6 separate regions of the Mus musculus genome follow, and regions 1, 2, 3, 4 and 6 are each reported to be linked to region 5. Evidence: microRNA targets listed by miRTarBase, many of them from high-throughput screens and not tested one by one. Region 5 holds a microRNA gene; each other region holds the end of a gene's coding sequence.

What was found. Region 5 holds the annotated microRNA mmu-miR-706 (AGAGAAACCCUGUCUCAAAAAA, at 3,144-3,165, shown strand). A microRNA usually pairs through its seed, bases 2 to 8, with sites in the 3' UTR of a target mRNA and lowers its output. Matches are read on the target gene's strand: a 7mer-m8 pairs with bases 2 to 8, a 7mer-A1 pairs with bases 2 to 7 and ends in A, and an 8mer does both.
Region 1: miRTarBase lists Mfn1 as a target of mmu-miR-706. Seed matches in the 3' UTR shown: 7mer-A1 at 4,363-4,369 and 7mer-m8 at 3,515-3,521.
Region 2: the mRNA of Timmdc1 is a reported target of mmu-miR-706. Seed matches in the 3' UTR shown: 7mer-m8 at 1,022-1,028.
Region 3: miRTarBase lists Med18 as a target of mmu-miR-706. Seed matches in the 3' UTR shown: 7mer-m8 at 1,110-1,116.
Region 4: miRTarBase lists Lmtk2 as a target of mmu-miR-706. Seed matches in the 3' UTR shown: 7mer-m8 at 2,118-2,124.
Region 6: the mRNA of Dusp3 is a reported target of mmu-miR-706. Seed matches in the 3' UTR shown: 7mer-m8 at 2,830-2,836, 7mer-m8 at 2,035-2,041 and 7mer-A1 at 1,693-1,699.

The regions. Positions count from the first base shown.
Region 1 is chr3:32,576,457-32,581,854 of GRCm38, reverse strand. It overlaps Mfn1 (mitofusin 1), which reads right to left. Exons shown (of 18, transcript NM_024200.4): 18 at 2,630-4,792. The coding sequence ends at 4,714. It overlaps Gnb4 (guanine nucleotide binding protein (G protein), beta 4), which reads left to right. Exons shown (of 10, transcript NM_013531.5): 10 at 1-1,523. Among named protein-coding and RNA genes, the nearest start is that of Gnb4, 37 kb to the left of the region's middle.
Region 2 is chr16:38,494,381-38,499,778 of GRCm38, reverse strand. Timmdc1 (translocase of inner mitochondrial membrane domain containing 1) reads left to right here. Exons shown (of 7, transcript NM_024273.2): 7 at 696-1,936. The coding sequence ends at 846. It also overlaps a transcript of Cd80 not described here. Among named protein-coding and RNA genes, the nearest start is that of Gm41453, 14 kb to the right of the region's middle.
Region 3 is chr4:132,454,747-132,460,144 of GRCm38, reverse strand. It overlaps Med18 (mediator complex subunit 18), which reads left to right. Exons shown (of 3, transcript NM_026039.3): 3 at 32-1,416. The coding sequence ends at 585. Among named protein-coding and RNA genes, the nearest start is that of Med18, 6.5 kb to the left of the region's middle.
Region 4 is chr5:144,183,741-144,189,138 of GRCm38, reverse strand. Lmtk2 (lemur tyrosine kinase 2) reads right to left here. Exons shown (of 14, transcript NM_001081109.2): 14 at 931-4,423. The coding sequence ends at 4,395. Among named protein-coding and RNA genes, the nearest start is that of Bhlha15, 3.8 kb to the left of the region's middle.
Region 5 is chr6:120,032,057-120,037,454 of GRCm38, reverse strand. It overlaps Mir706 (microRNA 706), which reads left to right and starts at 3,144; the gene lies at 3,144-3,227. Wnk1 (WNK lysine deficient protein kinase 1) reads left to right here. Exons shown (of 28, transcript NM_001199084.1): 1 at 1-581.
Region 6 is chr11:101,969,757-101,975,154 of GRCm38, forward strand. Dusp3 (dual specificity phosphatase 3 (vaccinia virus phosphatase VH1-related)) reads right to left here. Exons shown (of 3, transcript NM_028207.3): 3 at 1,387-5,183. The coding sequence ends at 4,978. Among named protein-coding and RNA genes, the nearest start is that of Sost, 5.4 kb to the left of the region's middle.

The DNA.
Region 1 (5,398 bases), not on the chromosome of region 5:
ATTTGGTTGAGTAAACACCCCAAAATGCTGCTCAGCAAAGACATCACTATCTCCCTTAAGATGAACAAGCTTCATTTTGGCAGCTGTGATAGATCCCAGGTCCCTTTCTAGCAAACACTTTAAGTCATGACACACATGTACTGTATTACAAACTCATGAAAGCAAAGTGTTGGGGCCTGTCACTTCAAGAGCAAAAGTCTAAAGTGGCTGTCATTTAGTAGCACAGTGTTTCTGGAATGCTAAAGAATTTTAACCTATTAAAGGAGAAATGAAGATAGGTGTGGCAATGCATGCTTGTTATCCTTCACCTGGGAGGCTAACACAGTGCAGAGCTGAGGCCAGCTCGTCAAGGCTATCAGATGGGAACTTTATCCCAGAGGCTGAGTAGTCAAGTCTGCTTAGTGTTATTACACAGGACCTGAGTTTAGTTCCCATTTCAGGTGGCTAACAACTGCCTTTAACTTCAAGGGATCCAAAGCCCTCCTCAGGCACCTGTACCCACATAGTTTAAAAAGAATCCTTTTCTTTTAAAAGGAAAAAAACCCTTTATTTTAATAAAAAGTAATTTTATTGCTGAAAGTACTCTCTAATCTTGTTGCTGTTTTAAACTTAGTAGTAAAACTTAAGACATCATTTCAGAAGTGAAACCATCCAGGGAAATTATCTGGATATGAACGTCTTAGATTTTGAACTGCAATGTGCTTTGTTACTGACTAGCTTAGGAAAAGCTGAATATGCAATCCCCCAGATAGGCCTGCCTGTCATCATTTCATAGGGAACATACTTTTAGAATCTGCACATCACACGAGGCTTGTACAAATACTTACATACTGTGTTCGGGTGCTGATTCTCTGGCCACTGTGGAAAGCATACTGTTGTAAAATGACATCTTAGCCAGTTAGAAATGTAAAAGCCACCCACCGGGGAGTGTCCTTTATAGGGAGACTGTCTTAAATTAGACTGGAAAGTGAAGCACACAGCAGACTCACTTCTGCTTCTCATTTGTTACAACAGGTACTCAACAGATGTCTACCCCCAAACTAAATAGCTGGTTTTGTAAAGCAGGTGTAACAATGTAGCATTATGAGAAAAATACTTGTTTCAACTAGTATGAAATGTATCCAACAGACTCTTCCATAGCAACTGGGCGTAACTAGGACTTCCGTGGTTCAGCAGCAGGGTGTCCCGTCCTTTTCTGTCTTTATGCAATTGTGCTCTTGAGTATCCTTGTCTCGCTGAAGGCACTGATAGCCCACACCTCAAGTGTGCCTTTAAGCCTGACTGAGTATTTCTCTATGAGGTATCTTGGAGGCATTTTTCTCCTCCTAAAATAAGTTCCAACACATGAAGCCAACTGACTGAATGCCAGCCATGCCTAAAGCTTAACTATAGAAGCTGGGGACTTATGCCATGGTTCACAGTATTCTGAGGCATGACAGGTACACCCCTCTATCTGTACAGTTGCTTGTGAAATACTGTTGCAGCAAGCTCATACTGTAATCAATAAAGTGCTTTTCACCATGGCTCACTGTACCTTGTTTTAAGTCAAATTTTAGTAAGATTTAAAAAGTTATGCCCTGGAACTAAACTCAGGTTCAGTACTTTAATGGTCAGCTCTGCTTCCTGTGTTTAAATACTGATCTTCCTTCTCTTCTTCCTCCTGCTCCTCCTCCTTTTCCTCCCCCTTCATAAAAAGGGGCAGTAAGGGAGAGATTGAGTATTATTGATCCAAAGCTAGCTTTTACTTTATTGTTAAAGGGTACAGATTTCTCATTTATAAGTAAACCATCCCTGTGGGGCACGAGAGCCAGGTTTATAATCTAGTACTTGGGAGACTGAGAGAAGCAGGAGGATCCCAAGTTTGAGGCTAGCTTTGCCTCCATGAGAAGACCCTGCCTCAAAAGAAACACCCTTCTCCTGTAGCTCCCTTAGCGATATATTCTTAAAAGTCAAAAGTCTTAAAAATACCATAGATTTTAATTTTTTTTAAATATCCATTTTTTCTTAGATTTATTTATTTTATGTGAGTACACTGTAGCTGTCTTCAGACACACCAGAAGAGGGCATTGGATCCCATTACAGATAGTTGTGAGTCACCATGTGGTTGCTGGGAATTAAACTCAGGACCTCTGGAAGAGCAGCCAGTGCTCTTAACCTCTGAGCCATTTCTCCAGCCCAATCACATAAGATTTTTAAATACTTGTATTTATTATCACATTGCAGTTTTAAGATTAACAATTAAGATTTTAAGTTTGTATTCCAGGTCGAGCCCACCCTGATCTACAGAGCAAGTTCCAGGATGGCCAGGGATACACAGAGAACCCTGTCTTGAAAATAAACCAAAGGTAGAGGATGTTTGTATTAGTTCTGTTTAGGGAATCCTCCTGGCTCAGTGCTTATCAGCTGCACAACTACCATGGAAGACTTCTCAAACTGTGCTCCTGACAGTGGTGAGCCAGGCATCTCACACTTTCTGTGACTGGGCAAAGGCACTATTATACAGTGTATGTACAATAGTACTACAGCACAGTGACAGGACCTCATGTGAGAGCTTACACGACTACCATGAAAATATCTGAAGGGAGTGGAAAACAGTCACTAACTGAGATAAATGCTATATTTACCAACTAATAGGCGGATAGGTTTATTTTCATCTTGCAAGCTTGCATACTTATAAAAATGTTTTGTAAAAAGTTTAAGATCATACAAAGTTTATAAATACTGTAAACATACACAGTAAATCATCAAGTATGTGTGTAGCAACTAATCAGTAACCGTCATGATTACAGTCTGTAATGCACGAGCCTACCAGTGGCAGGCGCACTCTTGTCTGGTAAAAGAGCTAGTGTCTGCATTTCAACACTCCATGCTCAACACCCGTAACTTCTGAACTTCATCAGCTGGCTCTACATTCTTAATCAGTGAGGAAAGCATTCTGGACTACAGATACTGGCTTGCAGACTTCAGAGTACACTGGGACAGACTTGAAGCTTGCTGCAGACCCCAAACTTGATTCATACCTTGTTGAGAATCTACACCTTACAAATCTTTACAAGTTTAAAAATAATGTTGACAATCCCGGGAGCAAACCCAGAGAACCAAGCTGTAGCTGGCTAATTATGTGCTCCAAGTAACTGTGTAACCTAGGTTAGCAGACCTCAATTCTAGATACTACTTTTTCATGTACTATTCACCCAGTCCCACTTGGTTGCCTGTACCATTTGGGGGACTAAAAATCAGCAATAAAAGCAAAAGGTAGTCACATGGATTTAAATTTGAATACTGCAACCCAGCACCCAATCTACATAAAAATTAAGTGGTTTTTAGAAACTTCTCTATGGTCTAAGTAATGATATATAACATTGTAATAGTCTTCAAGTATTTTAAAAATAAGAGGTGCATCTAGGGCTGGGTATGCCTTTAATCCCAGCACTCTGGAGGCAGGCAGATTTCTGAGTTCAAGGCCAGCCTGGTCTACAAAGTGAGTTAGTTCCAGGATAGCCAGGGCTACACAGAGAAACCCTGTCTCAAAACTAATCAACCAAACAGACAGACAAAAAATAGGTGTGCCTATTGTGAAGACAGGCCTTTAGGAAAGAAATACTGGGAGTTTGCTGGATCTCTTTGCCCCTTTCCTCAATGTGGCCATATTAACTAAATACTCCTCTGCTCCTGCCTGAAGTGCTGACCTTTGACACTGCAGTGGGTAACCCTTGGGGTGGCACTGCTGACTTCCTGAAGTGATCCAATGTTAGCACTTTAATTTTCATTGTCAGGTGGAGAATAATCCTGTCTGCTATTTACAAGCATTTCCATACCACTGTCAATCAAACATCAATACCTGAACTATAAACATGTCACTAACCCAGAGTGGTAATTTGTAATAGAGCCCAAGAAATTCATGTAATTCAAATCAAAGCTTCCAGTGGGGACACGCCTGGACACGCCCAGGGTCTCGGTGAGTGTCCTGCTGAGAACCAGTTGCCACAGTCACTGCACCACACTCCACTCCACTCCACACACTTTCTGCTCCCATTTCACCCCTTCAGACCTTCCACTTCACACTTAGGCAGAAAAGCTCTCCTTGCTGGACTCAAGGCTGAAAATGTGTCTAAAGAGAGAGAGCAGGAAAGCAGACCCAAATACTTCATGCGTGGCTACAATGATAGGCCTCGTTACTATTTCACATCAGCTTTAATGGGAATAAAAGAAAGTAAAAACTGTTTAGTAGTGGTTACATCCTTGCTGTGAGGACAGAGTGATTGCAGGACCCCCCCAGGAGCAGCCCACACCCCTGGTTTGAGCAAATCGGCTTATAAACAAGTTCACTATTCCCATTAAAGAAGCATCAAGAACTAGCACTGAGAAAGGATGAAAAGGTCTCTAACTCCTGGATGCCAGGAAGCAGCTTCTGAGAGCCGCAGACAGCCAGCCTGGTGAGGAGCTGCAGGACCCACCCTCAGGGGCCGCACAGCCGGTTCCACTGTTTCTAAAGGAATTCATCATTTAACCTTAACAATTCAGTCTTTACTCCAAACTAATGCTAAGACAAGGCGAATCACAACACTTCCAAAGGTGCAACCCCTGAGACAGGTCATTACCACAATCTCCGCAAGGCATCGATACTAAGAGTTAGTAACTTGTACTGAGGTCATTTCATAAAGTAACATTTCCCATCTTCCAAGTCCGCTTCCTCCTACAGTGCCTCTGCCGTTAGGATTCTCCACTGCTCGGGTGTAGAAACTGCTTCGAAAAATTCTCCAGCTCACTTTCAAGTTGAACAGCTTTATTTCTAATGAAAAGACAATGAATACACATCAACTCAATTATCCTAACAGTCTATAAGAAAAGTACGCTCTACCCAAACTTAGAAACTGCCCCTAAGCAGCTGCGGCCCCTCGATGAAACTCACGCATGGCTGGCCTGCTGTGCTCACAGGTCAGGAGCCTTGGGCTTCAACAGCAAACAGCCTAACACATGGCTTATACGGGAGTCACCCCTCGGGTCACAAGCATAACTGTCTTGGAAACTGCCTTTAAGTACTGTGTAAAGAACGAAGTTCTTTGCTACGTAAGGATCACATTAGAATCGTACTTGATGAAATCAAATTGCCTATGAGAGGAAGCTCTGACTCAACTGCCAGCCACCTATCTATGCAGCATATTTTCATTCCATTCAGGGGATGTACTCAACAGAAAATGAAATCTGTGTGGAGAGAAGAAAGGGCTTTTGGTTTTGTTTTGTTGTTTGGCTGTCTCTGAACATGTGACTAAGGTCACAGAAGTGAAGTGTACATAAGCCAAGAATGCCCTTGACTCTGCAGCAACCCTCCTGAAACGTGGGCAGAAGGGCTGAGCCCAAGCTGGTAATTAGGATTCCAAACAGTCAGGCCTTGGTG
Region 2 (5,398 bases), not on the chromosome of region 5:
AGATGTGTCGTGAATATGTGTATAGTATTTCTAAGAAGAGTTAGTTTAAATGTTTATGTGACTTTTTATATTTGTGCCTCTGCTTAAAAATAATATAGAGAAATGGTTTTTAAAATTGTCCTAGCAGAAACTATAGAAGACTAGACATAGGTGGGGTTGCAGAGTGGTCAAATTGGATTGGGTTGAGATTTAAGTTGTAGGTGGCCTTGATAAACAAAGATACTAAGATTCTATTTAGGAGAAGAACTGATCTGTTAGAAATTTGATTCTACTTTTCATAAATATGTATATGATTCTGCTCTTCCTAAATAAGTATCTGTAGAGTTATCCTATATGACTTCACCTAGATCATTATTGCATGGTCTTCATGAGCCTCAGGTCTGGAGGGCAGGAGGGCAGCCCAGCTTTGATATGTAAGCCTTAGCACAGGCTCATTACTCATGGAAGAGCTGCAGGGCAGTCTCCCAGAATATGGTAGCTGTCCAGTCCGTGTTGGTACTGGACTGGAAATCAGGGTTAGACTGAAAGGGGAGCAGCATAAGAGAGAAGCAAGTCTGTGTTGTGAGTGCGGGAACCATTGCTCATAAGTATCAGAGCAAAGCAGGGAGGGTGTGGCAGACCCTGCCCCTTTGTTCGCAGTCTCTGTACAGACGTGCTACAGCAGCACTTGACGCGTGTCCATCCTTTGATTGTAGGAGAAGCAGTCTGCAAGTCACTGAGCTCCTCCCGATGGAGATTGAAAGTGGCTTGGAGAAGATTCAGCCTGAGGGAGACGCTCAGAGGATTGAGGAGCTGCTAAGCCTCCCTAGGAACCCTTCATCGCCACATCAACAAAGCAAGCACTGAGGACCAGGGGGCTGTGTCTGGGAACGCCAGTGCCAGGCTACTCCGCTACTCCTTGCCAGCCCGCTGACTGATGTGAGGGCTGGAAGCTGTGCTAGCGGTCACTTGTCTCTGATCTTTTTCTTTCTTTCTTTCTTTTTTTTTTTTTTTTTTTTTTTTTTTGGTTTTTCAAGACAGGGTTTCTCTGTGTAGCCCTGGCTGTCCTGGAACTCACTTTGTAGACCAGGCTAGCCTCGAACTCAGAAATCCACCTGCCTCTGCTCCGAGTGCTGGGATTAAAGGCACGCATCACCACATGGCTTCCGATCTTTTTATTACATCCAGAATTAGGCACCCAGTACTCAGGGTGCCACTGACCTGTAAATCCAGAAGCTTGGGAGGCTGAGAAAGGAAGATAGTGTGATGCTAGCCTGAGCTACTTAATGAGAACCTGGTTAAAAAATGTGCACCCACAAAAAAACCCAAACAACAGAACCAAAAAGCAACCCAAATATTCTTATTTATTCCGATCATTGATCCATCTAAATATTTCATATTTCTCTATCATGCTAGATTTTGTACAAGTAAAATTCTTCCCAAAAGATTTAAATTGTGTTGTCTGGATCGCCTAATCATGCCTCAGTCTTTGAAGAGTGTTCTCTTGGAGGACCTGAAGGAACTGGAGGAGGAGCATGTCCGCGAGACCCTCTTCCTCGGGCCCTCAGACAGTGGATAGTGTGAGCCTCTACGTTTAGTTGTTTGGATTTTTTTTTTAAAATAAGAATAAGAGGTGATTCCTTGCCATTTAAACGTGGTTTAACAAACTGGAAGCAGGTGGGTATCAGTAAAGAAGCGATCCAGCTTAGTCTCCGCCCCCACACTGCCAACAAAGCACCTGTGCTGCAGGACACAGAAGATGCGACATGCTGTCCCCACAGTAAGGAGCTGGCTGCCTGAGAGAAGCCGTCCTATAGATTTCAGCTATGGACAGAATGGGAGAAAGTGCAAGACCGAGTCACAGGCAGCACTTTTCTGGCCTTTGGGTGTGTTTTTTCAATTTTACTAACATGCAGTTAATGGTCTGAAAACATTAAATGGAAGATCCCAGGACTAAGCAGTTGCTCAGTTTTAAATTTTGTACATTTCTAGATGGGATGATGGAACCTTGCCTCCTGAGATAGAACGAATCCCTTCTTCTGGCATTTCCCATTCTCTGTCCGCCTTGGTAATCAGGTTGAGTGTGTGGAATGACAGTGCTTGTGTTCAAATAATGTCATTTAATAATGACTCCAAAGCGCATGAGGAGTGCCACTAACAGTTGACATGCACCAAGGCAAGCTGTGCAGTGCACCCTTTAAGCAGAAAGGTGAGCATTACCACCATGTTGAGGATCCTGTATTGTATAGAGCCTCAGGCATCCACTGAGGTCCTGGACTGCATCCTGCCGATAGGATGGTGGGGAAGAAACCGCTAGCATTTTATTTTGGAGTTGGACTTACTCTTGGTAAGTTGGTTCTACTCTTAAACAAGGTCTAAAGAACAGTATAGTGCAGTCTTGAAAGCCAAGGACTCCAGGAGTAAACCTCTCGCTTTCCATTTTAGCCTGAAGCATAGCAGCTGTGTGACTTACAACAAAGCCATCTGCTGAGCCTAGAGTCTAGTACAAGCTAGGCATTCACTCAGCCAGTGAGTTAAGCCTCAGCCCCGTTGTACTTTAAAGTCTCAAGAGTTTTCACTAAGCAAAGTAGTATATTCTTGAGAGTAGTTTTTAGTGGAGTTATTAAAGTGTGATATTGTTAAGTATATATTTGCAGTCTTTGACATACAACTTCCCAAATCCTGGAAACCCACAAGTGATAGTATCTATGTACGTGTATGATGGCTGGCTACCTCTTAGGGATGAGGCCTGGTCACCTAGAAGTTCTTAGTAGAGCACAGATCAGGCACTGTCAGTCCTAACTCACAGCCTCTAGTTAGGGAGGTGAGCTTTGAAGTGAGCTGCTCACCCAGTGCCAGAGATTGAATCACCTTTCAGGTGACGTTTCCATGACAACCCAAGGGCTAGCGCTGGATGCTGCTGGTTCCCAGAGGCAAGCACTAGGGAGGGCATGGAATATCTGCACTTTGCCTGGGCTTCACCCGATACATGTCTTCACGGGAATGCCTTTTACAGCAAACCAGTAAGTAGGCTTCCCTGCACCGTGTGATGTGCTCATCAAACAGATTCCTTACCAAGGAGTCACTCCAGCTCAGTTTGTAGCTAGGTGGTCAGTTATGGGAATGAGCCGTTCCCCTGGGGAGATGATGAGCAGAACTAGTGACACTGTGTGTCCACTCAGGAGGACCTGCTTCCTGGCTGGCTGGGGAAGTTCCCACAGTTTGGGTGGCTACGAAAGTCTTGTGTTGGTAAGTGTGGTAAGGGAGAAGGGGTGTGTGTGTGTATGTGATTTTTTTTTTTCCCAACCAAAATTTTAACACAGTGCCTACGTCATAATAAATATAGCTGTAAGGAAAGGCCTCTGCACTGGTATATTGGCGCAGTGAATTATGTGTTAGAACCATACTCATAAATTAATATCTTTCATAATTACCCCACTTATAAATTGACAAATTAGCAAATATCCATTCTGTTCATTGTTTTATTTATAATAACATAGGCAAAAATCTTTAAAAATTATAAAACTAAACAGTTTTTAAAAATTACTTTAGCAAAAGAAAACACCTGAATAATAAAAAGTATAAATCTTAAAAAAAACAACTAACGCTTATCAAATGTAATCAATAATTTAACATAACTTACTTTTCTAAGTTTCCCTTTGATTGATCCTTTTTGTCACTAACTGTTTTTGAAGTCTCGTGGTGAGCCCGATCACCACTGATTAAATGCTGCAGCTTACTTCCCCCGCCCTCCTGGTTTTTCTTTGGTGTGGCTTTCAATGTCTTGTTAGCTTTTTGTCAGTCCACCACTTTGTTTTCTTTAGTGGCTTGGTTCTGAGAGCACCCACATAAAAATGGACCTGTTTCCTGGGCATACAACAGATTCTGGTCCCGTTGAGAAGTTTGGCTGCCATTCGATGTCCTCCTATAAATTCAGACTAGAATATCTGATTGTCTTGACTTAAGCTCACTGCTGGTCTTGTAGGTTGTGGATTACATCTCAGAGAAAAGGGAACCTTCAGTATAGAAGCAGCAGTTAGCTGCTTCTTGTTTTCCATTTCTTTGGGGCACATTGATGGAGGAGTGGGTTTCAGACAGGATCTTACTATCCAGGCCATGCTACCTGGAATTCAGTTCTTCAGCCTCAGTATACTGAGTGCAGGGATTACAGGCAAGTGTGTCTAACGTACATTTTATTTTTCAATTCCACTGTAGCAGATCTATACCAAAGAGCAAAAGCCACTTCCAGGAATCTGAGGAAGTTCTGTGTAAGGCTAGTATCACTTAAGTTGTTTATGTGAGGACAGATGATTACTCAGTAAATAATCTCATTTGAAATAAGAACTATATCAAGAACTGTGTAAAAGGGCAAAGTTGCCTAAAGACATTCATTATAAGTTCAATATGAACGAGTAAGTTACGAACTGTGCCTCCAACTTGACTTTTGCTTTGAAGTATAAAAGGCATACATTCATCTTAGACAACAAAAGCAGTTAATTCTGGTTGACTCTGGTTTCTTTTAAGGACATGAAGGATAAAAAGGGAAATACCTGGAAAGTGCTGGCTGAAAATTACCAACATTTTTATTACCCTCAAATGGGTATACATAGCAACATGTTTCCTACAAATTACACTACAGTCAGTAGGCCTTAAAAAACAAACAAAATAGAGGCTAGTCAAATATTGCCAGTAAGCAGTATCCTGAACCCCGTACTAACTGAGCCTTCTGCTTATTAAAAGCATTTTAAATTAGCTTGTCTATGAGCTCAGAGCTTGGGGTCTAACAGATACAGGTTAAGAGTGGTAGAGCCAGGAAATCTGGATTCTGACTCACCTTCATAATTCAGGTTCCCTCTTGGAACCTCAGTGTCTTCATTGATTCAGCTAGTGTTCTGCTAAGTGCCATAGCTTACACCTGGAAGTCTGGCACTCAGGAAACTGGTGCAGGAGGATTGCTGCAAGCTTGAAGCCTGCCTCCGCCACAGAGTGATTCTTTGTCACTGAGCAACAGGGTAGAACCCTATCCTAAGGTATCGAGAGAGAGTGTGTGTGTGTGGGTGTGTGTGTGTGTGTGTGTGTGTGTGTGTGTGTGATGTGCAAGCAAATGTGCAAATCGTCCCTATGTCCTTTCCAAAGAATTCAGTCTCTAAACTACGTCCTCAGAATCAGCAGAACTACTGTGGTTCATTCGTCTGAGTACTTCTGCAAACCACTGCAGAGGCTTCACCTAGAGAACCGTGTTTGCAGAGCCAGGGTAGTGCTAGGTTTCTGAAGTCCTTTGCAGAAGAGGTCAGTTGCAAATGGTAGATGAGACCTGAGGAAACAAAAGGAAGAAATGAATGTTGCAACTCTAATTTTTGCAAGAGAGAAAAATACTATGCTTAAAATTTCGAGGTCAATTATATTTAACTTGAGGTAA
Region 3 (5,398 bases), not on the chromosome of region 5:
GCCGGGACTCACTGTGCTTGTGCCTCTTCAGGAAGTGTTTTGGACCACAGTTTGGAAAGCCTCATCCATCGCCTCCGAGGTTTGTGTGACAACATGGAGCCTGAGACCTTCCTTGATCACGAGATGGTCTTCCTGCTTAAGGGCCAGCAGGCCAGCCCGTTCGTCCTAAGGGCCCGGCGCTCCATGGACAGGGCAGGGGCACCCTGGCATCTGCGATACCTGGGACAGCCCGAAATGGGAGACAAGAACCGCCACGCCCTGGTGCGCAACTGTGTGGACATCGCCACGTCTGAGAACCTCACGGACTTCCTGATGGAGATGGGCTTCCGCATGGACCATGAGTTTGTCGCCAAAGGACACCTGTTTCGGAAGGGCATCATGAAGGTTGTGGTGTACAAGATTTTCCGAATCCTGGTCCCAGGGAACACGGACAGCACCGAGGCCCTGTCCCTCTCCTATCTTGTGGAATTAAGTGTTGTCGCCCCGGCTGGGCAGGACATGGTCTCTGATGACATGAGGAACTTTGCAGAGCAGCTCAAACCTCTGGTTCACCTGGAAAAAATAGACCCCAAAAGGCTGATGTGATGAAGAAAGTTTGTCGGCCTTTTAGGCCTGTCCCCACCTGGGAGGTGAGAGACTTCGAAAGTAGCCCAGGTACTGCTGCCAGCCGGGCCCACTTCCTTCCAGAAGATGATGGCGAGACCTGGTTCCTTTCAACTGTTTCCTTCACTTGGTAATGTCTCTTTTTTCTTGCAACAGGGTTTTACCATGGAATTCACTACATAAACTAGCTACCCTGGAACTCAGGACCCTGTACTTCCCGCCTAAGTGCCTGCAAGGTCCTTATTAAACCTGACTGTTCATCTTCTTGATAGGCTTTTCCAATGAAAGACCCAGGATAATATGGAGATTTGTTCAAGTCCTCCCTCCACTCAAAAAGAGGGAACTGGAATAAATTAGCTTTTCAGAGGAAAGGTCAAAAAACAACTCATAATATTTTGCTTTTTTTTTCTTTTTTCTCTTCTTTTCTTTTCTTTTTTGTTTTTTTTTTTTGTTTTTTGTTTGTTTGTTTGTTTGTTTGTTTGTTTTGTTTTTCAATACAAGACAGGGTTTCTCTGTGTTGCTTTGGCTGCCCTGGAACTCACTTTGTAGACCAGGCTGGCCTCAAACTCAGAAATCCACCTGCCTCTGCCTCCCGAGTACTGGAATTAAAGGCGTGCGATAACACGCAAGCCCGGCTGTTTGTTTTTTTTTTTTTGTTTTTTTTTTGTTTTTTTTAGAGAAACATTTTTTATTCCTTTATTTATTTGTTGTTTTCTTCATATGTTTTAAATTGTGTTGTTTTGCCATTGATATACAAGGTTTACAATGGTGGTGTGAGCCAGCATTGTGTGGTAATAAAGACTGAAAAGACTCAGTTGTGATTCTGATTCTTACTCGTCTTAACTCCTTCCTAGTCTACTTCTATATTGCTATAGTTCTGTCTTACTATTGTTGTTATTGTGTATGCTGTGGGGGCCTCTCCAGGACCCACATGGGAGAAAGAAAGAACCGACTCCTGCCTGTTGCCGTCCTGTTTCTCCACAGGATTGGTTGAGTCCTGCACCCACATGTGTGCACACCCACACACAAATGTAATCAAAAACATTCAAGTAGCTGGTGATGGAGAGGTGGCTTAGCTGCTAAAGAGCACTGGCTGCTCCTGCAGAGAGGACCAGGCTTAATTCCAACACATCCTTGAGTGCTGACAACCTTCCGTAGGAGTCCAGTTCTAGGTGATTGGATGCTCTCTTTTGAAGTACACAGGCACCAGGCACACACTCAGTACACAGACATGTTCAGGCAAGAAAAGGGCCATGTGCTGGTGGTGCATGCCATTAACATTAGTCCTGGCACTCAGGAGGCAGAGGCAGGCAGACCTGTGGTCTACAGTGCAAGTTCCAAGACAGCCAAGGCTACACAGAGAAGAAAGACAAAAGGCTCATAGTCTTAGATTTGAAAAGTCAGATACTTTTTCTCCTTCTCCTTCTCTTTTTCTTTTTCTTTTTTTTTCTTTTTCTGCCAGGAAAACTTTCAGTCCACTTTCTTTTTTATAGGAGTCTTACCCAGGATCCTACCAACAGCCTTAGTGAAATTTACTGTTGGCTCATCTACCTTCTGTTTTAGATTACAGTTATTTCTTTAGGTCTCACGTGTGCATGTGCTTCTGTGCACATGGGATCAGAGGCCAGCTTCCAGCAGTTCTGTATTTTCACCATCCGGGGCCTGAGTGTGGAACTCAGGTTGTCCGGCCTGGCAGCAAGCTCCTTTATCCACCTTTCCTTTCCAGATGAGATCTCTCACAGCCTGCAGCTCAGTTTCATCTAGACACCAGCCAGGGGCCCCTTAGCTTTCTTCTTTCCACCCTCCCTGCAGCAGCAGGGTTAGCAAAAGCCAGTCACTGCCTCCAGCTGCTGCCCGGGACCTGAACTCAGGTTTGTGTGTTTGCTTAGCAATGTTTTATCCCCTGAACTACAGCCCCGGTCCCTTGCAGTTATTCTTTGTAGAGATGTTTTAATCTTTCATGAAAGTAGTATATTTGAGCCATCCTGTTATCAGGGCATGGGGAGGCTGAGACAGGAGGATCACAAAATCCAGGTCAGCGTGAGCGACAGCAAGATCCTGTCTCAAACCACAGGCACACTCAAACACACACAGAGGAAAAGGACATTTTTGTTGATGGAACATTTTAAAACCAATAAAATACCAGAGATGGTTCTATTTTTGCTACACCTGCATGTGTAGCTGTGGAGGTCTACAAACCACTGCCTGTACACTGTGGTTGCTAGGTTTTGGAACTTAAAAAAATTTATTTTTTTCTCAGCCAGGCATGGTGGCCCAGCACTCAGGAGGCAGAGAAATACAGATCACTAAGTTTGGGGCCAGCCTGGTCTACAGAGTAAGTTCCAGAACTTTTTGTATACCAGGCTGGCCTTGAATTCACATAGCTCCAGCCTGCCTCTTGCCTCCTGAGTGCTGGGGTTAAATGCCTGTGCCCAACAAGCCTGGCCATAACTCACTTTGGATCTTAGTTTGTCATTCAGAGGAATGGATTGTAGTCCAGTATAGACTGTTTGGCTAGCATGCACAAGATCTATAACTAATACCACTCATGTACAAGTTCCCTGACTAATCCCACTCAAACACAAACACACAGACTATCAAGCAAGGCATAGTTTGTCCTCATTTGTCCCAACAACCAGAGAAGCTGAAGTCTGAGGAACACTTGTGTCCAGAAACTTAAGATCCAGTTTGGACAATATAGCAAGACCCAGGTGGGAGTGGGGTTTTGCATCAAGAGACAAGCAGACAGATTTCTGTGCGTTCGAGGCCAGCCTTCTCTACAGAGTTCCAGGTGAGAAACTGTCTAAAAAAGTTTTTTAAAGAACCCCAAAATGAGCTGGGCATGGTGGCGCACGCCTTTAATCCCAGCACTTGGGAGGCAGAGGCAGGCAGATTTCTGAGTTCGAGGCCAACCTGGTTTACAGAGTGAGTTCCAGGACAGCCAGGGCTACACAGAGAAACCCTGTCTTGAGAAACAATAACAAGAAGGAGGAGGAGGAGAAAGAGAAAGGAGCGGGTGGGAAGAGAAAGGAAGAAGAGGAGAAAGAGGAAGGAGGAGAGGAGGAAGAGAAAGGGAGGAACAGGAGGAAGAGGAGGGGAGAGAAAGAGGAAGGAGGAGGAGAAAAAGTATTCCTTCACAGTCTTTGCTTGCATTTATCCCTCCAAGTTCCTACACTGAGGGGCTGTAACCTGGGGGGTTGTGAGATGAAACAAGCCCTTTCTTTATTCCCCAGGTTGTTTTGGACCATGGTATTTACCACAGCAACAAAGCAAACTAGGACAGGCTGCCACTGTGTGTTAGTACAATCACTCAGACACTGCTCCTTAGTGTGTAGCCTCCCTCTGTTTCTAATCTCTGTGTTTATTCTGTACTAGACAAAGTCTTCCTTTCCAGCCCAGGCCAGCCTTGAACTTGAGGCAGTCCTTCTGCCTTGACCTCCAGAGGGCTGGGATTACAGGCATGAACTACTATACCCAGTCCTAAATTATACTTTTATTCTCTATCACATGTAACCACAAAAATTAAATTTATTTTCGTTTGTTTCTGTTTTTATTCTGAGGCATCGTCTCATGAAACGCAGCCTAGCTTCATCCTTTTGAGTTAGTGAGGCTGACCTTGAACTCAAAGAAATCCACTTGCTCTCCACCTCTGGAGAGCTGAGATTAAAGGCATGCACCACCATGCCCAGCCTCATCTTCTTAAAGTACATTGTGTGTATGTGTGTGTGTGCGCTTGCGCAAGCGCGCATGTGAAAATCAGTGTACAAAAATGCAGTTACAAGCACATCCTCACATGCATGCCTTGGCTTGAATTTGGAGATAAAATGACAGCCCGTGGGAGTGTATTCTTCCCTTCAGCTGTATGGGTCCAGACTGATGGTATGTTTGCCCACTGAGCCAACCTCTCGGCCATCCTGTATTTTCTTATATTAACTTTATGATTTTAACTTTCACATTTCAGTCTTCAAACCATTTGAAGTCTGTCTTCTACATAGTTTCAAGTAGAGAGAGAGACCCACCTTTCTTCTCCCAGTGGTGAACTAGTTTCTGTCACCACCTGGGACAAATTCCTCCGGGGCTCTGTGGTGTGCCACCCTTAGCACACATTAACTTCCCACATCCAGACTGTCTTAAGCTCCCCTGTCTCCTCCACTGGCCTTTTCTTTGTTACCTGCCAGCAGCTGGCAGAGCCATGTTTTTATTGGCTTTGTGATGGATCCAGTTCTACCAGTAGGGCCGGTATCCCTACTTTGCTTTTCCCCTCAAAATAGACTTAGTTCTCATAGGCCACAGTGCCATACATCTATAATCCCAGCACTTGGGAGGGGCAAGCAGCGTATAGATCAGAATGCAAGGCCAGGAATTGAAATAGAAATTTTGTTTTCCTTCTTGAATAATAACTGTTCACTTATGGGAATCCCCACTTTCCACTAATAAAATGTGAGGTTTATAAGGGAGGGGTTTTGTACCCCATGCACGTGCCAGAATGGCCTAAGGTAGACCCCTGGACAATTATTAAGCAGATGAATGAAATATTTTTTGTATGTGTGTGGGTTTTTTTTCCTAAGATTTATTTATTTATTATATGTAAGTACACTGTAACTGTCTTCAGACACACCAGAAGAGGGCATCAGATCTCATTATGGATGGTTGTGAGCCACCATGTGGTTGCTGGGATTTGAACTCAGACCCTTCGGAAGAGCAGTCAGTGCTCTTAACCGCTAAGCCACCTCTCCGTGTGTGTGTGTGTGTGTGTGTGTGTGTGTGTGTGTTAGGACAGGACTTCTCTGTATAT
Region 4 (5,398 bases), not on the chromosome of region 5:
AGGCTCAACTAATAGTAGTGTGTCTCCCCCCCACCCCCCCATTAATAGGACAGGTCTAAACAACTCAGCCAGGACTCTGCATAGCTCTGGCTAAGTTCAGCAGGCTTGGGTCTCAGTACTTGTGACACAGTCATGTGGGCCATGGTTCTGGTAGAAAGCTGTCACCTCCCTCATGTCATTTGGACTTCAATGAAAGGACTGGGGGCGGGGGGAACTGAGACACCCCCATACTGCATACAACTGCTACTGCTTTTTGAGACAGGACCTCATCCTTACCAGAGCCTGGGCTGTTATGGACACATGGCAATCCTCCTGCCTCAGCACCCATCTGCTGGTATTACAGGCACACACCATGCCAAACCCAGTGAAAGGCTGTTTTGTTTGGGGTGTGTGTGTGTTTTGTGGTACCCGTGCATGTCCACAAGTGTAAGGTGTGAAGGTCAGAGTTCAACATCAACTGTCATCCTCGGGGCACCGGTTTCTGTTTTGTTGAGGCGGGATCTCCCACTGGCCTAGAGTGCTAGGCTGGCCAGTGAGCCCCAGGGTCTGCTGCCTCTGCTACCCCAGAACCAGACGACAGGCATACTGGCTCCACTCTACCCGACCTTTTGATTTTAAACATCATGGGTTTTAGAAACAGAACATAGGTTTTCTCAGCAAATAAGCCATTTCCCAGACAGAAAGGCTGGCTGTGACCTCTTGGAGTAGCATGTGGGGCCTGGGCCAAGGCCAAATCCTTATAAGCCAAATCTCGCTACAACTCCTCAGTAAGTAGAAAGGCTTGGATTACAGAGCCCACAACCACACACGCACCAGACGCTGCAGTCCCCTGACAATCACCCTCGTGCCTTAGGACCACGGGGAGCTCAGAGATCCACAGCACCAGGCCAAACCCGCACATGGAAAAAACAAGGAGTAAATGTAGCAACAGAGATTATTATAAATATATAACTATATTTATTTTGAATATTAAATAGTTTTTAAATTACAAGCAATTTATTGAATCACACTAAGCTTCAATATACAGTAAAAATCTTACAATTTAAAAATGTACACAATTTAAACTCCAAGTTCATTAACTGTTATATTGCCATGAACCCCTTCTGATTGCGTTAAGTACAACCTGGTGGGTAGCAGGCCGTGGGTGTGACTGTCCCACCCAGATCCCTGGCGAGGACAGGATGAAACAGTGGGAACATGCACAAGACCCAGCTTCGCCTGAGCAGGCTTCAGTAACCAAACGCCACACGTTCAGCCCCCGGGACGGCCGTGGGTGACGCAATACTGCCAACACATCTTAAGAACTTATGTGTAAGTTAAACAGAGCTTCCTAAAAGCCAAGACTGGTGCCCCCGTTTGCTTCTTAAGAAATATTGAGATGTATGTTTGACGTAACTGTGTCTGCTCACTCTGACTACAAGGTGGCTTCTCTCAAGGTGGGCACTCTGAAGCATGGCACATAGAGCCTGACACTTGGTCGCATCGGCGGCGTTCTCAGGCTGAGGAGCTGCCTGTCTCTTTTCCCGGCCTTGGGGACAGACATGCAGTGGGTCACTAATTCTACAAATGCCCTATGGGAAGTATGGAAAAAGGGGAAGGTTTAAAAGGCATTGTACAGCAGGGAGACAGACCTCCTCAGAGAGACCCATCTCTCTAAAAACAGGCCTGCATGGCTGGAGGCTGGTTGCCATCGCAACCTTTCAATGAATGGCTTCTGGCCCAGACAGAGTCTCTCAGGAAGGGGGAACTACTTTTTTCTGACTTAGGTCATCTTCTAACAAATAGAAGCTATCAAGAGGGACTTGGAGGGCTCATTATTTTTATTAGAGGACTTAAAGTCAGCTTCCAGTCTGGTAGGTGGAGGGTGAGCACTCAAGGGAGGGCAGAAAGAAAAGTCACCAAGCCCACCACATTCCAGCCACAGTCACCACCGGCTCGCTTCACTGCTAACGTTGAGTAACCAGGTTTGGAAAGCCCACCAAGGGCACCTAAGTTATCATTAAAAGATAAAACCAGCTGGGTATGGTGGCAGCATCAGGGGGCAGAGGCAGGTGGATCTCTGAGTTTGAGGCCAGCCTGGACTATACAGCAAGTTCCAGAACAGCCAGGGCTACACAGAGAAACCCTATCTTGAAAAACAAAAAACAAAACCTAAACCAAAACAAAACCCACACTGGATGGCAAAGCACATGCTCACATTTAAAAAATGGGCTGGAGTTTAGTCTACTGAGATTTCTGTCTATTGCTTGAGATTTGGGGAGGATGTGTTGATGCGTGTTATACAAAGTCTTCCCTTCCATGCAACGACACAGAAGATCTATCCCACCCCCACCCCAACTCAATATATAAAATGCTTTTATTTTGGCAATTTACCATGAGAACAATATAGATATAAATATAAACGGGAATTGTATTGTTAAAATCCCCTCAGCATGGTGAAAGATGGCCAGCCCTCAAATGTCAGTAACTCTATCCCAGGCTGGCTGCGAAAGGAGGCTACACATATGGATCCACCTGACTGTAATCAGTGAATCTCAACTTCTGAAACCTGTAATTTGAAAAAAAAAAACAAAAAAAACTTATTATAATTACACCTCCTTTCTTTCTCAACTAAAGCTGGTAGATAGAGGTAAAAAAATAATTAAAAAAAAATCAGAAAGTCCACACAGCAAAAATTCAGTTATGACAATTTTGGCAAAATTACTTTGAAATGCCCTGTTTTTAATATACATGTCACAAAATCCAGTGCTTTCTACGGAGTCCAGGCAGGCACAGTCTGCACCAAGGATGGGAAAAGGAGACTCTGTTTTAAAATTTCTTCTGTTGATCGTAAAGTTATTGCTTAGTATAAAAAAAACGCATGGATCGAATCAGAGTTGATGATAAAGGTCATGATTTGTTAGGTGAACTCACACCGACACCCACACTTGCACTCTGCAGGAGAGTCCAAGTCCTTCTGATTGATAGCAGGATGTCCTGGCCAGGGCCTGGAGACTCAACCCATTGTCACACTGGAGCCTGGACAGCAGGGGCAGCACCGGGATATTTGGGGCGAGGAGCTCAGTGAGAAGAGCCACGCCAGCAGGTGCAGCTCCCGCCCAGCATGGCTTCGCCACGCTGCCATGGCCACCAATACTTGCTTGGGGTAGGAAAGCGAGGTCTCCCTCTGTGTTAGGGACAGCAGACTCCTCCGATGATGTACTGAAGCTACGCTGAAGATGTGAAATCCCTTTCAGAACAAGAGGAGAGCTGGGTGCTTGGTACAGGAAAGGGGCCATGAGGGCTGCTGGAGGCCCTGCTGGGGTCTCTGCCCTGCTACTTGCAGCTACAGGGGCTGGCTGTATCCTGGGGGCTATGGCCAGGGATGGCTTCTTCCCAAACAGCTCCCTCAGCAGCACCCAGAGTGGACAAACTGCTCTTCTCACTTACAGCTCTGTGGGGACCAGTGTCTCAGAGGTCCCACCTGCCTGAGACGCAGAGCTCCCGCAAGCTGGCCTCTGTGCTGAGCAAGTGGTGCATGGCCTCATCTCGCCAGAAAAGGACCCTGGGCACTGAGTGATGGGTGCACCTCTTCAGGGATTTCTACCAAAAGAATTTCAAAGCACGAGAGGCAGGGCAGGCTGCTCAGAGTACCCACCTTATATAGAAACATGCTCGATGCAATCAACGAAACAGAACAGCAGTTTTGGCCTCATCAAAAATATGTCCTCTAAGAACATAAAACACAACCTAACTCCCAGAATCAAAAGGGCCCGAGGGAGGGTACCTGTGAACGGTTCCCGCGGGTGGGTCTAAGAAAGAAGAACACTCAAAATACCGAAGCTTTACAGTGCCATGCAGAGCAGACACCCAAGGAGACAGAGACAAAAACAAAAACAAAAAAGAAAATCAAACCAGCGGTCAGCACCAGCTTGGCCTGCCATATCTTCCTTGGATAATTTACGATGCTGTACAATATTGGGAGCTCAGAACACTCACCCACAGTGCAGTCAAAGAGCAATTAGTGATTTCCTAAAGACAATAAATATGGCTCACTTGTGAGCACTCCCTCCCCTGGTGCGCCTGCCCCTCTGTGGCACCTGTGGCGAGGCAGACATCCACACCCACACACCCCACACAGACCCACGGCCTGAGGTGCTCAGGTCCTCCAATACTCGTGAGCCAGAGCAGTGTGGCAGTGTGGCCACTTCGGCAGGATGCCCAGCACGAGTGCAGGAGCAGCCCAGGCGAGCGGGCAGACGAGCGCTGCAGAGGGAGTTGCTTCCTGGCGTGGTGGCCCCGCTTTCCATCACTCCTGAGCCGCTCACTGTCTGGTGCCAGTCAGCATGGAGTGGATTGCGTTGCTCAGGTGGACAAGCAGGAGCGCTGCTGGCTGGGAGAGTGTCTACAGCCAACTAGTCCTTGTCTCCGTCTTCACTGCTGCCTATGTCCAGACAGAAGCAACATAACAGCGCAGGTCAGATTTAAGAGCCGACTACCCAGAGAGTGCCAGCATGGAGGCGAGCAGACCAGAACGGCAGGAAAAGGAAGCATAGCTGGTGCCCTCCTGTGCTGCCCTGTCTCCCCTCCTTCCCACAACCTGCAGGGCTGCACACACAGGTGCTTGGCTCCCACAGAGGCTCCATGGTCACACTCGGGCGCTGACCTGTACACCTGCCCCCAGAGATCCTCAGGCTCTGGCATTATCTCATCGGCACAGGTGAAAACCAAGTAAACAAAAGTGCTTTATATCCTACAGTTATTATTTGATCTGTAAACTTCAAGTAAAAAATGTACCTATTAATATTTATCTCCTGATCTTGGTATAGGGAAAGGGGCCCATATGTTCAGGTATTGCTACTTCAAATGGCCCCTGCTGTGAGTTCCCAGCTGGCCGTCCAGTATCACACAGAGACCAAGACTTAATGGCAAAATCAACACTGCTGGGGAAGAGCCCACAAGGCTGGGCTCACGTCCAAACCACAGGTCAAGTGTGGCTAGAGCAGGTGCCTGTGCAGGGTGCTCCCTGGGGACAGATGTGTAACCTGAGGAAGCGGGGCTGGCAGCAAAGGGGAACGGAAAAGACATGGCAGAGCCCGCTCTGGGACCTCCAAGCTCTCCAGGGCCGTCCATCAGGGTGGACAGAAATGGACACTGGGAATGAGCCCAGTGTGGGAGTGTGGCTGCATATGCACTGTCAGGCTGTGAGGGATGCACCAGGCCTATTATGTCAGCCTCTTGGGGATCTAAGGCGGAAGACTCAGATCAAGTTCAAGTTTAAGGCCAAACTAGACTCTAAGAGTGAGTTCAAGGACAGTTAGGGCAATCTGGGGAGACTTTGCCTAATTAACAAAACAAAAAGTAAGAGACTTAGGGAGGAAGCTTAGTGGTAAAGCAGTAAGGAGCTGGGGTGTGGCTG
Region 5 (5,398 bases):
ACAAGGACAGTCGTGGGGCGGCCGCCACCACCACCCCCACGGAGCACCGATTCTTCCGCCGAAGCGTCATCTGCGACTCCAATGCCACCGCGTTGGAGCTGCCGGGCCTCCCTCTCTCTATCCCGCAACCTAGTGTACCTGCAGTGGTGCCCCAGAGTGCTCCACCCGAACCTCACAGAGAGGAAACTTTGACCGCCACCGTTGCTTCCCAGGTGTCTCAGCAACCCTCGGCTGCTGCCTCCCCTGGGGAACAAGCCGTTGTAGGCTCGGCCACCACGACCGTCCCCAGCAGTACCAGCAAAGACCGCCCGGTGTCCCAGCCCAGCCTCGTGGGGAGCAAAGAGGAGCCACCGCCGTCCAGAAGTGGAAGTGGCAGTGGTGGCGCCAGCGCCAAAGAGGCGCAGGAGGATAGGAGCCAGCAACAGGATGATATCGAAGAGCTGGAGACCAAGGCAGTGGGAATGTCCAATGACGGTCGCTTTCTCAAATTTGACATCGAAATCGGCAGAGGCTCCTTTAAGACAGTCTACAAAGGTCTGGACACCGAAACCACTGTGGAAGTCGCCTGGTGTGAATTGCAGGTAATGCCCCACCCCCTTTTTTCTTATTCGGTCGTTTGGATCCCAAATTTGGCTCTGTTAAGCCAGTTTGTCGAGTTCACTCTTTACTTGTAATTCTCTGACTCTGAGAGGGCGGGAAGACTAGTGTCCAAAGAGGTTGAAATTGGGAGATTGTGGAGCTTGTAGTTAGTTAGGTGTTTGGAAAAGATAGGAACTATTGGTGTCAAGAAGGATTGTTATCAGCCAGGGGTAAAAAGAGTCATTTAAGTACAAACTTGTGTGTTTAATGTCAGGCAGGAGACATGGAATTATTGGAAAAGGGTTTCCCTTCGTGTTGGGGATCGAAGAAGTGGGGCCTGGACAAGTGCTTTCCCACTGAGCTAAATATATCCTCAGCCTTTGGGAATTTTTTTTTTTTCTTTTGCTTTAAGTAAATATCAAACCTTTTTTTCCTGTACACTTCATTCTCTTCTAAGCCTCTGCAATAATGAACTGCCTTGTGTGTTTCCATCTCTAAAATCTGATTGTTAGACAAGACCCTGTACTTTTAAGGAACAACTTTCTTGATAGCAGAATATCATAGCATAGTAGCTAATAAAGGCATGCCTGGAAATCCCAACTACTTACTCTATTGGTCGAGGCAGGAGAGCCTCAAGTTCAAGGCCAGTCTGGCCTGGGTAGTGAGACACTGTCTTTTTTGTTTTGTTTTGTTTTGGTTTTTTCGAGACAGGATTTTGTATAGCCCTGGCTGTCCTGGAACTCATTCTGTAGACCAGGCTGGCCTCGAACTCAGAAATTCACCTGCCTCTGCCTCCCAAGTGCTGGGATTAAAGTCTTGCACCACCATCAAAACAACCACCCAGTCCCTGATTCCCAACTCTCTTTCCCTTTAAGTGCTTTCAGAGTAGGAAGGTACAGTATATACCTACCAATATAACCACCTACAGGTGCTTAAGCCTTATGGCTAGCTGTGATCTGACACTGTTCATTAGTCTGTCTTCATCCTATTCAGTCCATAGTGAATAGTAAAAGTCCATGCAAAATTGTATAAGTGCTTTGAAAGTTGTGATAATACCATCATTGTTGTAATATCTTATAAAAGACTTTTTGTGAGTGTCCCAAAGTATAGCCCAGACTGTCCTGAATTTGTTGATCCCTCTGCCTCAGCCTCCAGAGTATTAGAATTATAAGTTAATGCCACTATGCCAGGGATATAAAAGATTTTTAAATGAAACTTCCCAAGAGTCCGAGGGATTACAGTGCTTTCTTCCTTCCTTCCTTTTTTTTTTTAATCTCAGGGAAATTTTCAGGTTATAAATAAAGTGCAGGTATATGCTAGATTAGTTTGGACTACTAATTGCTTGAATTATAGCAATAAATAAATGTTATTATATTTATTATATAAATTTATATTTATATAAATAATATAATATAATATAATATAATATAATATATATTATAGCGATAAATAAATGTTATTATAAAGCATCTATATAAATATTGGTTTGTTAGCACTTGTTCACATCCAGAAATGAGCATGTATTTGTGGTGGAAGCAGAATTTCAGCTACATCATAGATGAAAGTGCCACTACTGATTTCTTGTCAAGAAAATGGACCAAACTGAAATAGGATTGGAAAGTAACTGAAATAATCTCAGAACTTGATTTACCCAAGAATTAATAAACAGCTTGGTTTCCAAATGTCCCAAGGTCATTTGAAATGTGAAAGGAATAATGTTTGGAATTTGCTTCTATGTGGTGGTGCATGCCTTTAATCCCGACACTCGGGAGGCAGAGGCAGGCGGATTTCTGAGTTGGAGGCCAGCCTGGTCTACAAAGTGAGTTCTAGGACAGCCAGGATTATACAGAGAAACCCTGTCTCAGAAAAAAAAAAAAATGGAGTTTGCTTCTAAATATCTAGTGAAGGTGAGCAATTACCCAGCTTCAACAATTATCAGCATATGATTGTTCACTTAAAGATAGTCGATTAAGCTTTCTCTTCCACTTCTCTATATGCTTGAAATTTATTTTCACCATTGGAAATGAGTGTTCGTTTTGTTTTTATTTTAAAAATGTGAAAGAACGTTAACTCAGCATGTGGAAGCAAACATGAAACTGGCAAGTTCTTGAACATAATTCCTTGAGTTCAACACTTAAAATGGAACTTCTAAGCACATTAATGAAGTAAAATAACCAAAAAAAAAATTACCCCTTGTTAATTTTATAACTGATAAGAGTTGGAAATGTGACAAATATTTATTTATTTATTTATTTATTTATTTAATATTTTGGTTTTTTTCAAAACAGGGTTTCTCTGTATAGCCTGGCTGTCCTGGAACTCACTCTGTAGACCAGGCTGGCCTCGAACTCAGAAATCCGCCTGCCTCTGCCTCCCAAGTGCTGGAATTAAAGGCGTGTGCCACCACTGCCTGGCCGTGACAGGTATTTTTTAAAAATTACTTTTAGCCGGGTGTGGTGGCACACGCCTTTAATCCCAGCACTTGGGAAGCAGAGGCAGGTGGATTTCTGAGTTCTAGGCCAGCCTGGTCTACAGAGTGAGTTCCAGGACAGCCAGGGCTATACAGAGAAACCCTGTCTCAAAAAACAAAAAAACAAACAAAATTACTTTTAGTAGGTTTATTTTGTTTTTTGAGATGGCTTTTTTTTTCCCTTACCCTATATTGTGAAGACTCATTGTGTACTCCAAGCTGGCCTTGAATCCATGATTCTTCTGCTGTAGCTTTTGGAGTATTGGTATTACAGGACCATGCCAGACAAACTTACCTTCATTGTTTGTTTGTTTGTTTGTTTGGTAAACTTGTCAAAATATGCCTCTCCTCCTACTGGGCAGTCATACTCAATAATTTAGATGAAACTGATTTATAGGAATTTTTGTACCAAGGATCTATTACTGATCCAGGAATTCAATTCTTCAATTACATTTGTTTTATTTAATTATCTATTTATTTAAGATTTATTTATTTATTATATATAAGTACACTGTTGCTGTCTTCAGACACTCCAGAAGAGGGTGTCAGATTTCATTACAGATGGTTGTGAGCCACCATGTGGCTTTTTATAAATGTGTGCTTTTACTTTTTATTTTTATTTATTTATTTTTAAAGACTTATTTATTTTATGTGTATGAGTGCACTGTTTCTGTCTTCAGACACACCAGAAGAGGGCATCAGATCCCATTACAGATGGTTGTGAGCCACCATGTGGTTGTTGGGAATTGAACTCAGGACTTCTGGAAAGAGCTGTCAGTGTTCTTAACTGCTGAGCCATATCATTCCAGCCCATATCATTTTGTTTTAGATCAAAATATTTGGGTTCAAATTAAAGGTCAAACCTAAGGATAAGTAAAGCTTTGAAAAGAAAAGGAAAAAAAGTACCCCTTTGACATTATCTCCCTAGCAGTGTGATTTTAAGCATGTACTACCATGCTTAGCTTTAAAATTTTTAGTGTATTAAAACTAGAAGGGTTTTGGGAAATAATAGCTCATTAGGTAAGGACCCCTGCCACTAAGCCTGATGTTCAATATAGCACCCACATTGTGGAAGGAGAGAGCCAACTTGTGAAAGTTGTTTTCTGACCCCTGCACTCTTGCTGTGGCACATGTGTACCTACATAAATAGATGCAAAATTGGATAAAATCAGGCTATCTCTCCCACCTACTTGTTTGTTAAATAAGGACCTGAAATCATAGGGCATTAAGTAATTTAGCTTTGGTTAAGAAATTACAAACATTAAAATAGTTATGATATAGCAATTTGGAAGGTATTGAAGGCAATTACAAATTAGACCTGGTAGCAGAGGCCTATAATTTTAGTTATTCAATGAGGCTGAAACAGTAAGATCACAGGTTCAAGGCCTGTCTAGGCTACAGAGTAAATTTTAGGTCAGCCTGAACAACAAAATGAGACCTTAACTCAAAACTAGAGTCAGAAAGAGAAGAGAGCTGGGGATACAGTTCAATGGTAGAGTACTTTAGTGCAGTGTTAGAATATTTGTTTAATAGCTACAAAGTTCTGGGTTCAGTCCAGAAAAGGTAAAGGAAACAACTGTGGTTACTAAAATAAAACTTGCCAGCCAAATTTCTGGCATAGATATGCTCTTCAGGGCCTATCCCATCTTAAGGAGTCTTTGGCAGTTGTAGCTTCTCTGAGAGGGAGAATCATTATCTTTTATCATGTTGTTCCCAACTGGTAGGTTTCTCATGGGCAGTCACAAATCCATGCAACAACAAATTGGATTTAGTAGGCTATTTTTAAAGAGTCAAAGAGTTGAGGAGTATGTGTTGGGGGCATATAAAAGGACTTGGAGGGGAGAAATGGTGGTGGATATATTTGTGTATACATGTTAACACTCTGAAGAATCAAGAAGAATTTAAATTTTTGTTTTTTAGAAAGGCCAGGCTGTCGTGGTACATGCCTTTAGTTCCAGCACTTGGGAGGCAGTCACAGGCTGATCTTTTGAATTTGAAGCCAGCCTGGTCTACATAGTGAGTTTCCAGAAAATCCAAGACTACACAGAGAAACCTAAAAACAACTGATCAAATAAAACAAAAACAAAAACAAAACCCCAAACTACATTTGTAGTCTCAGTAGATAGCTAATTAGTAATACTAATTTCAAATGAAGTTATACTAATTCTGTGTAGAAGTGGCTGTCAGGATTTCTAAAGTTCTCTAATAAATGACAAATTTAATTTTTATCACTTCATATGGGGATCTAGACTTTGGAGGATGAATGCGTGGGGTGTACAAATTAAACTTCCTATTGTTAGGTTATTTTTAGAGTCACAGTATGTGTAGCTATCTACCAAATTGTTTTCA
Region 6 (5,398 bases), not on the chromosome of region 5:
ACGACGGTCTTGCTGTACAGCCCCAGATACCTTCAAACTCGCCATCCTCTTGCTCCAGCTTTCCAAGTGCCCGTGGCTATAGGTGCACACCACCACACCTGGATAGGTTTTTTGTTTTTTAATTCTTCTTTTTTTTTAATATTTTGAGATAATTGTAATAGACAGTTCTTGAAATAATTCGGAGGGATTTTATGATCTCCCTACCCATTTCCCCTCCACAGCTCACCAAAGATGCCAGTCCAGCACCACAGCCAGGACGTGCAGTGCGCCGACGCCGACACACTCACATCCATCCTTACTTACCTAGGGCTCTCTCATGATGCCTGCGGCACGTGCTCATGCATCCGCTTCTACACGACCTTACCACGAGACTCGCCTGTCCGCCTTTGGCCCCAAGGATCTGCCCTGATGTCTTTTTTCATTATTTCTTTATTAAAGTTTTTGAAACAGGGTCTCATGCACCACAGGCTAGCTGAGGGCTAACCTTGATCACCTCCCGGAGGTGGAGATTAGAGGTAGCTGTCACCACAGCCCGTTCTTTCTGTCGCTTTTTGATGGAGTTGTCCACATGTCTCACTCACCCCAGCTCTCAGCTCACAGCAACCACTCATCTAACCTTGATTTACATCTTTTTCTTTTCAATTTAAAAAAATGTTACGCAAATGCAGCCAATGCAGCCAATACCTGGGGCCTTCTCTTTTCACCCAGCATAATTCCCTGGAGTTGTCCAGTAGTGGGTGCAATGACTGGTATTTATCCTCCTCTAGTGTCCTGCAAAGAATTTTCACTGCCCAAGTTCCCCGTGCTCCCCCTACTCATCCCTCTTCCTCCATCCCAACCCCCAGCACACCCTGAGTTCTTTTCTGTCTCTGTAAGTCTTACGTTAGCCAGAACACCATGAGATGGACTTACACAGTATGCCAGCTTTCCAGAGTCGTACCTCCAAGGGCTAGGTTTTAGGAGGTTTTTAAAGGCTTCATTTTATTTTTATGTGTGTATCTGTATGTGGGTATGTGCTAAGAGCAGATGCCCATGGAGGCCAGAGGTCCTGGATCCTCTGGACCTGGAGCCACCCAGTATAGGTTCTGGGAACTAAACTCAGGTCCTACCCAAGAGCAGTGTGCACTCTTAGCTGGAACCCTCTCTCCAGCCCCTAGGTGATTATTTTTAAATGTTAGAAAAATGCTGTACTGGTGTGGTGGCATGTGCTTTTAGTCCTAGCACTTGGAGGCAGGGACAGGGGCAGGGGCAGGGGCAGGGGCAGGCGATCAGAAGTTCAAGGCCAGCCTGAGATCCTACCTCAAAACTAACAACAGCACCACCACAGCAGTTATAAAGCACACATAAAAAGCCCAAACACACAAAAGGAAACACAAAACAGACGTCTTTGTAATGTAAGACATTTATTTTGGTTACAACTTTAGAGTGCGTTAACACTGGTGGTAGACTAGAGGCTAAACTTTCCTTTTCCTCCCGGATGGCAGGACCTCCCATGCCTGGCAGGTGACAGTGCTCTGCCTCACCCCACCATCCCCTGCCCTCTGAGCCTCTTCGGTCCACTGAATCACTTTTTACGGAGTTAACCTAACGCTGGCAGAGGAAAATGGAATACAAGTTAAATATCCAGCTATTCTCTCTATGCTACGATCAGGACAAAGCCTGTAAAAGAATTATGAAAAAGACAATTTCCTGTGAGAAAATCTCTTATCCTCGTATTATAAGATCAGTGCTTCTCTTGATTAAAACATTTAGCATCTTAAATACTATAAGCAACTTAAGGTGGAAAGGCACCCGCCTCAACAGTGCCCCCTGCTGGCCATGGCATTATCCACACCCACTTGGGGGTGGCGGGTGTGCTAAAGGCCAAGTGAGAATTCTTAAAATAACTTAAGAGTGCTGGAGCCCAGAAGAGCCTTAGTATGGGCCAAGAGTTCCCTCATTTGGTAAGTGTTAGTCTGTGCTCTCAAGACAATAGAACAGCAAAGAAACAGACCTACCCCTGGAAAAGGCAGGCAGACTTTAGAAGATTGAGAAGAGAAACCATTTTTATGTTTGTAATTTTTACCTGGATGTTTATAAGTCATAGAAAGTGGCTGGGTCTGAGGAAGAGGTTGGGGGGGGGGGGAACACCCTTAATTCCTATTCCACCACTTTCCATGGATAGAACACTATCCAGGATTCCCAACCCCACCCCCTACTCACGGGCAGCCACGGGGTTGGCTTTTCCACAACATCGGTATTTTACCTGAAGAATAGTAGCTAGTTTTATAAACACGAGGCAAAGCCAACCAAGAACCGTTGTACTTTCAGCCCTAATGGAAAGCCAGGAATCTCCCAAAGGCTCTTTCTTCATGTTCCCACAAAGAGGTTTCCAGTAGGTGCTAGTGACTGTCCTGTGGCTGTCCTATGGGGTGACCAACCCAGAAGAGGCAGGGGGAGGGAAACCCACCCTCAGAGTGGAGAGTTCAATGCTATGTGTCACCATGTGTTACCTAGACAAAGAGAGACTGTGTCCCAATCGACTGGGGAGCCACAATTTTCACTTCCTTCTCTGGAGATGGCTCAAAGTCATGTGCACTTGGACACTGTTGGGGGCAGATTTCAGGTCCAAGCCAAGAACAGCCTCAAGCAGCAGGCCTGAGACTGCTTCTACTTAGCTTTAACGAGCTGGCAACTCTTAATTATCTTGAACTTTTTTTTTTTTTAATGGAATCTTAGTTGGGCAGTGGTGGCATTCGTCCCAGCCCTCAAAGGCAGAGTCAGGCAGATCTCTAAGTTTGAGGCCAGCCTGGTCTACAGAGCGAGTTCCAGGACAGCCAGGGCTACACAGAGAAACCCTGTCTCAAAAACCAAAGCCCAAAATCCAAAACCTAGGATCTTGGGACCGTAGCCCTGGCTGGAGTCTCGATACGTAGACCATGCTATCCTTGACCTTTCGGCGGTCTTCCTGTCTCTGCCTCTCATGAACTGGGCCTGTAGACATTGCAATCATGCCTGGCTAGCCCAGATGTTTTTGGTTTGTGGTGTTTTGTTTTGTTTTGTTCTTTCCTCTCTTTTCCTCTCTCATAACACATGAACCAGTTCTGTCAACTCTACAGTGTTATTTTGAAATGCACATTGTATTGAGCAAGAGAGCCGCTTGGAAACTAAAGACTGAGGTACACAACTTGGCTATGGTCACTTCATTCTGGGCCAAAAAAAAAAAAAAAAAAAAAAAAAAAGGATGACCAGCCCTATGTGACCAGGGTTGCTGTGGTCACACAGAATAGGGGACAATGACCATCCAGGCTGCACAGCTCTGCTCCTGCTGTGATCAGAGGTCTTTACCCTGGGAGTGACATCCTAAGACAGGTCTGCTTCTCCTGCCTCTTGCAGCAGCTCTGGAAAAGGCATGTTCCTTACCTTAACCATGAACACTGCTGAGTCTTACACTTAAAGCTGAATTTGAAATATTCAACAAAAATCCCTGATATTTCTTTCCCTCCAAGGAAGGTTTCTCTGCAAACTCCTGTAAGACATCCTACAGGCAGGCAACCAGGCTGCTGGGATCCGGGTGCCCCACGACAACAACTCTCTCTATACACGGGGTACTCAAACAGCTCTGGTTCTCATAAAATGGGCTTTTATGAGACGCCTATGTGCCGGGTGCTGGGGTGGTGGCTGACGGCTCTGCGTGACCCCGGAGACATACAAATAATGAGAACGTGAAGTCCCAAGAGGATTATGTTCAATCTCTGGCAAATGTGCACACATACAAGGTCCAGCGAGGTTCAAAAACCACCCTTAGAAAGTTCTTTTAAAGGCTGTTTCTTTCTTTGCTCTCTCTCTCTCCATTCTCATGGTGCCGCCAAGTCTCGTTTCTGTCCAGCGAGTCAGTTTCAGGATCCTGCACAGACACCGTGGAACCAGCAGAGCCTCCCGTAAATGGCCAGGGTGAGCAGAGGGGCCTTTCATTTTCCTTCTGTCCCCAAGGGGACAGGCACCCCTTCCAACATATGCACCCGTGCACACACCCACGGACATGAGCTGCAATTGGCTAGGTTCCTCCTCCTAATTATTCTTAGAATAGCAACCAGGATGGCAAGCACTTGGCGTGATGACTTGAACTCACCAACACTATAATTCAGGATAAAATCCTTGCAATTCTCCAAATGGAGGTCCTTTGTTTGTTTGTTTGTTTGTTTGTTTGTAATAGGCTGGACTTTACACCCTGTATTCTGAAAAGGGGGAAACCCTGCCCAAGGCATCGCTCTTCTAACAAGCAAAGGAACAGAGCCATCCTCAGGGAAGGCTCTGAAGCAGCAGATATAGATCGTAAGCTCTCTGGCAAGGCACACTTTAAACATTCCAAAGAATCAAGATAGCCTCTGGGAAAAATGGATTTGCTTACCCAAGGGCCCCTATGTAGTATCTTTAATTCTAAGGAAATAATTTTAAAATGCAGCCTTTTTTTTCCTTCTTTTTGGAAATCTAGTCACTAATCTATCTCCACTCTGCTTCAGAACTTAATGTCATTCGTCTGCCTCAGCAGGGCGTGTCGGGCTGTGAGGACCAGGAACAGACATGGGGAGGTCAGGGCCTGTGTTTGCATAGTTCCTTTACCAGGCTCGTGGTTCTGGACCACACAGGAAGAACCCAGGTGGGGGAGGGGTCATGAAGAGTGCCCGTGTCCCGGGCCATGCACCCTGATAGCCCTCCCACCCTGGGTCACTGAGATGTATCTATGCCACAGACAGGGACATAAACCTGAACCTCACCTCAGGGAGAGACATAAATTACAGGAAAGGATGGCTAAGGAGCAGAACTTCTTAGGGAGCTTCTTCATGTGCTCCCTAAGGGTGGAGTGGCCCCCGAGGACCAGAGTGGGACAGATGTGGGCACGTGTCTGGTGGTGCAGGGAGTGGGTATACTGTGTTTCCTAAACATGGCTGCCAGGGCCCTCCCAGTCAGACCTCTGCAAAAGAGGCTGTGGGCACCCTAGAGTTTCACCTTGCCCTCCTTGGCTAGTCTGTCATTGAGCTGGCAGAGTTGGGCCAGGAAGCCATCGTTGGGGCCGATCTCACGATTCTGCCTCACAGTACTCAGAGCAGACTTGACGTCCATCTTCTGCCGCATCATGAGGTAGGCGATAACTAGCGTTGGGGAGCGGCTGTAGCCCTCGCGGCAATGGACAAGCACCCGGCCTGCAAGAAACAGGGGAGACGTGGTAACTGTGGAAGCCCAACTTCACTGTAACAGTCAAAGTCTTCCATACAACAAGCATATCACCATGCACCCACCCAGAATGACCAGGGACAGCAGGGTGTCAAGAGGTTCTCCACCGCGGAAAACTGGCAACAGCTACTCACGTTGAACACCTGCGCCCCCTACTGCCCAGCAATGGCATGCTGGGAATTGA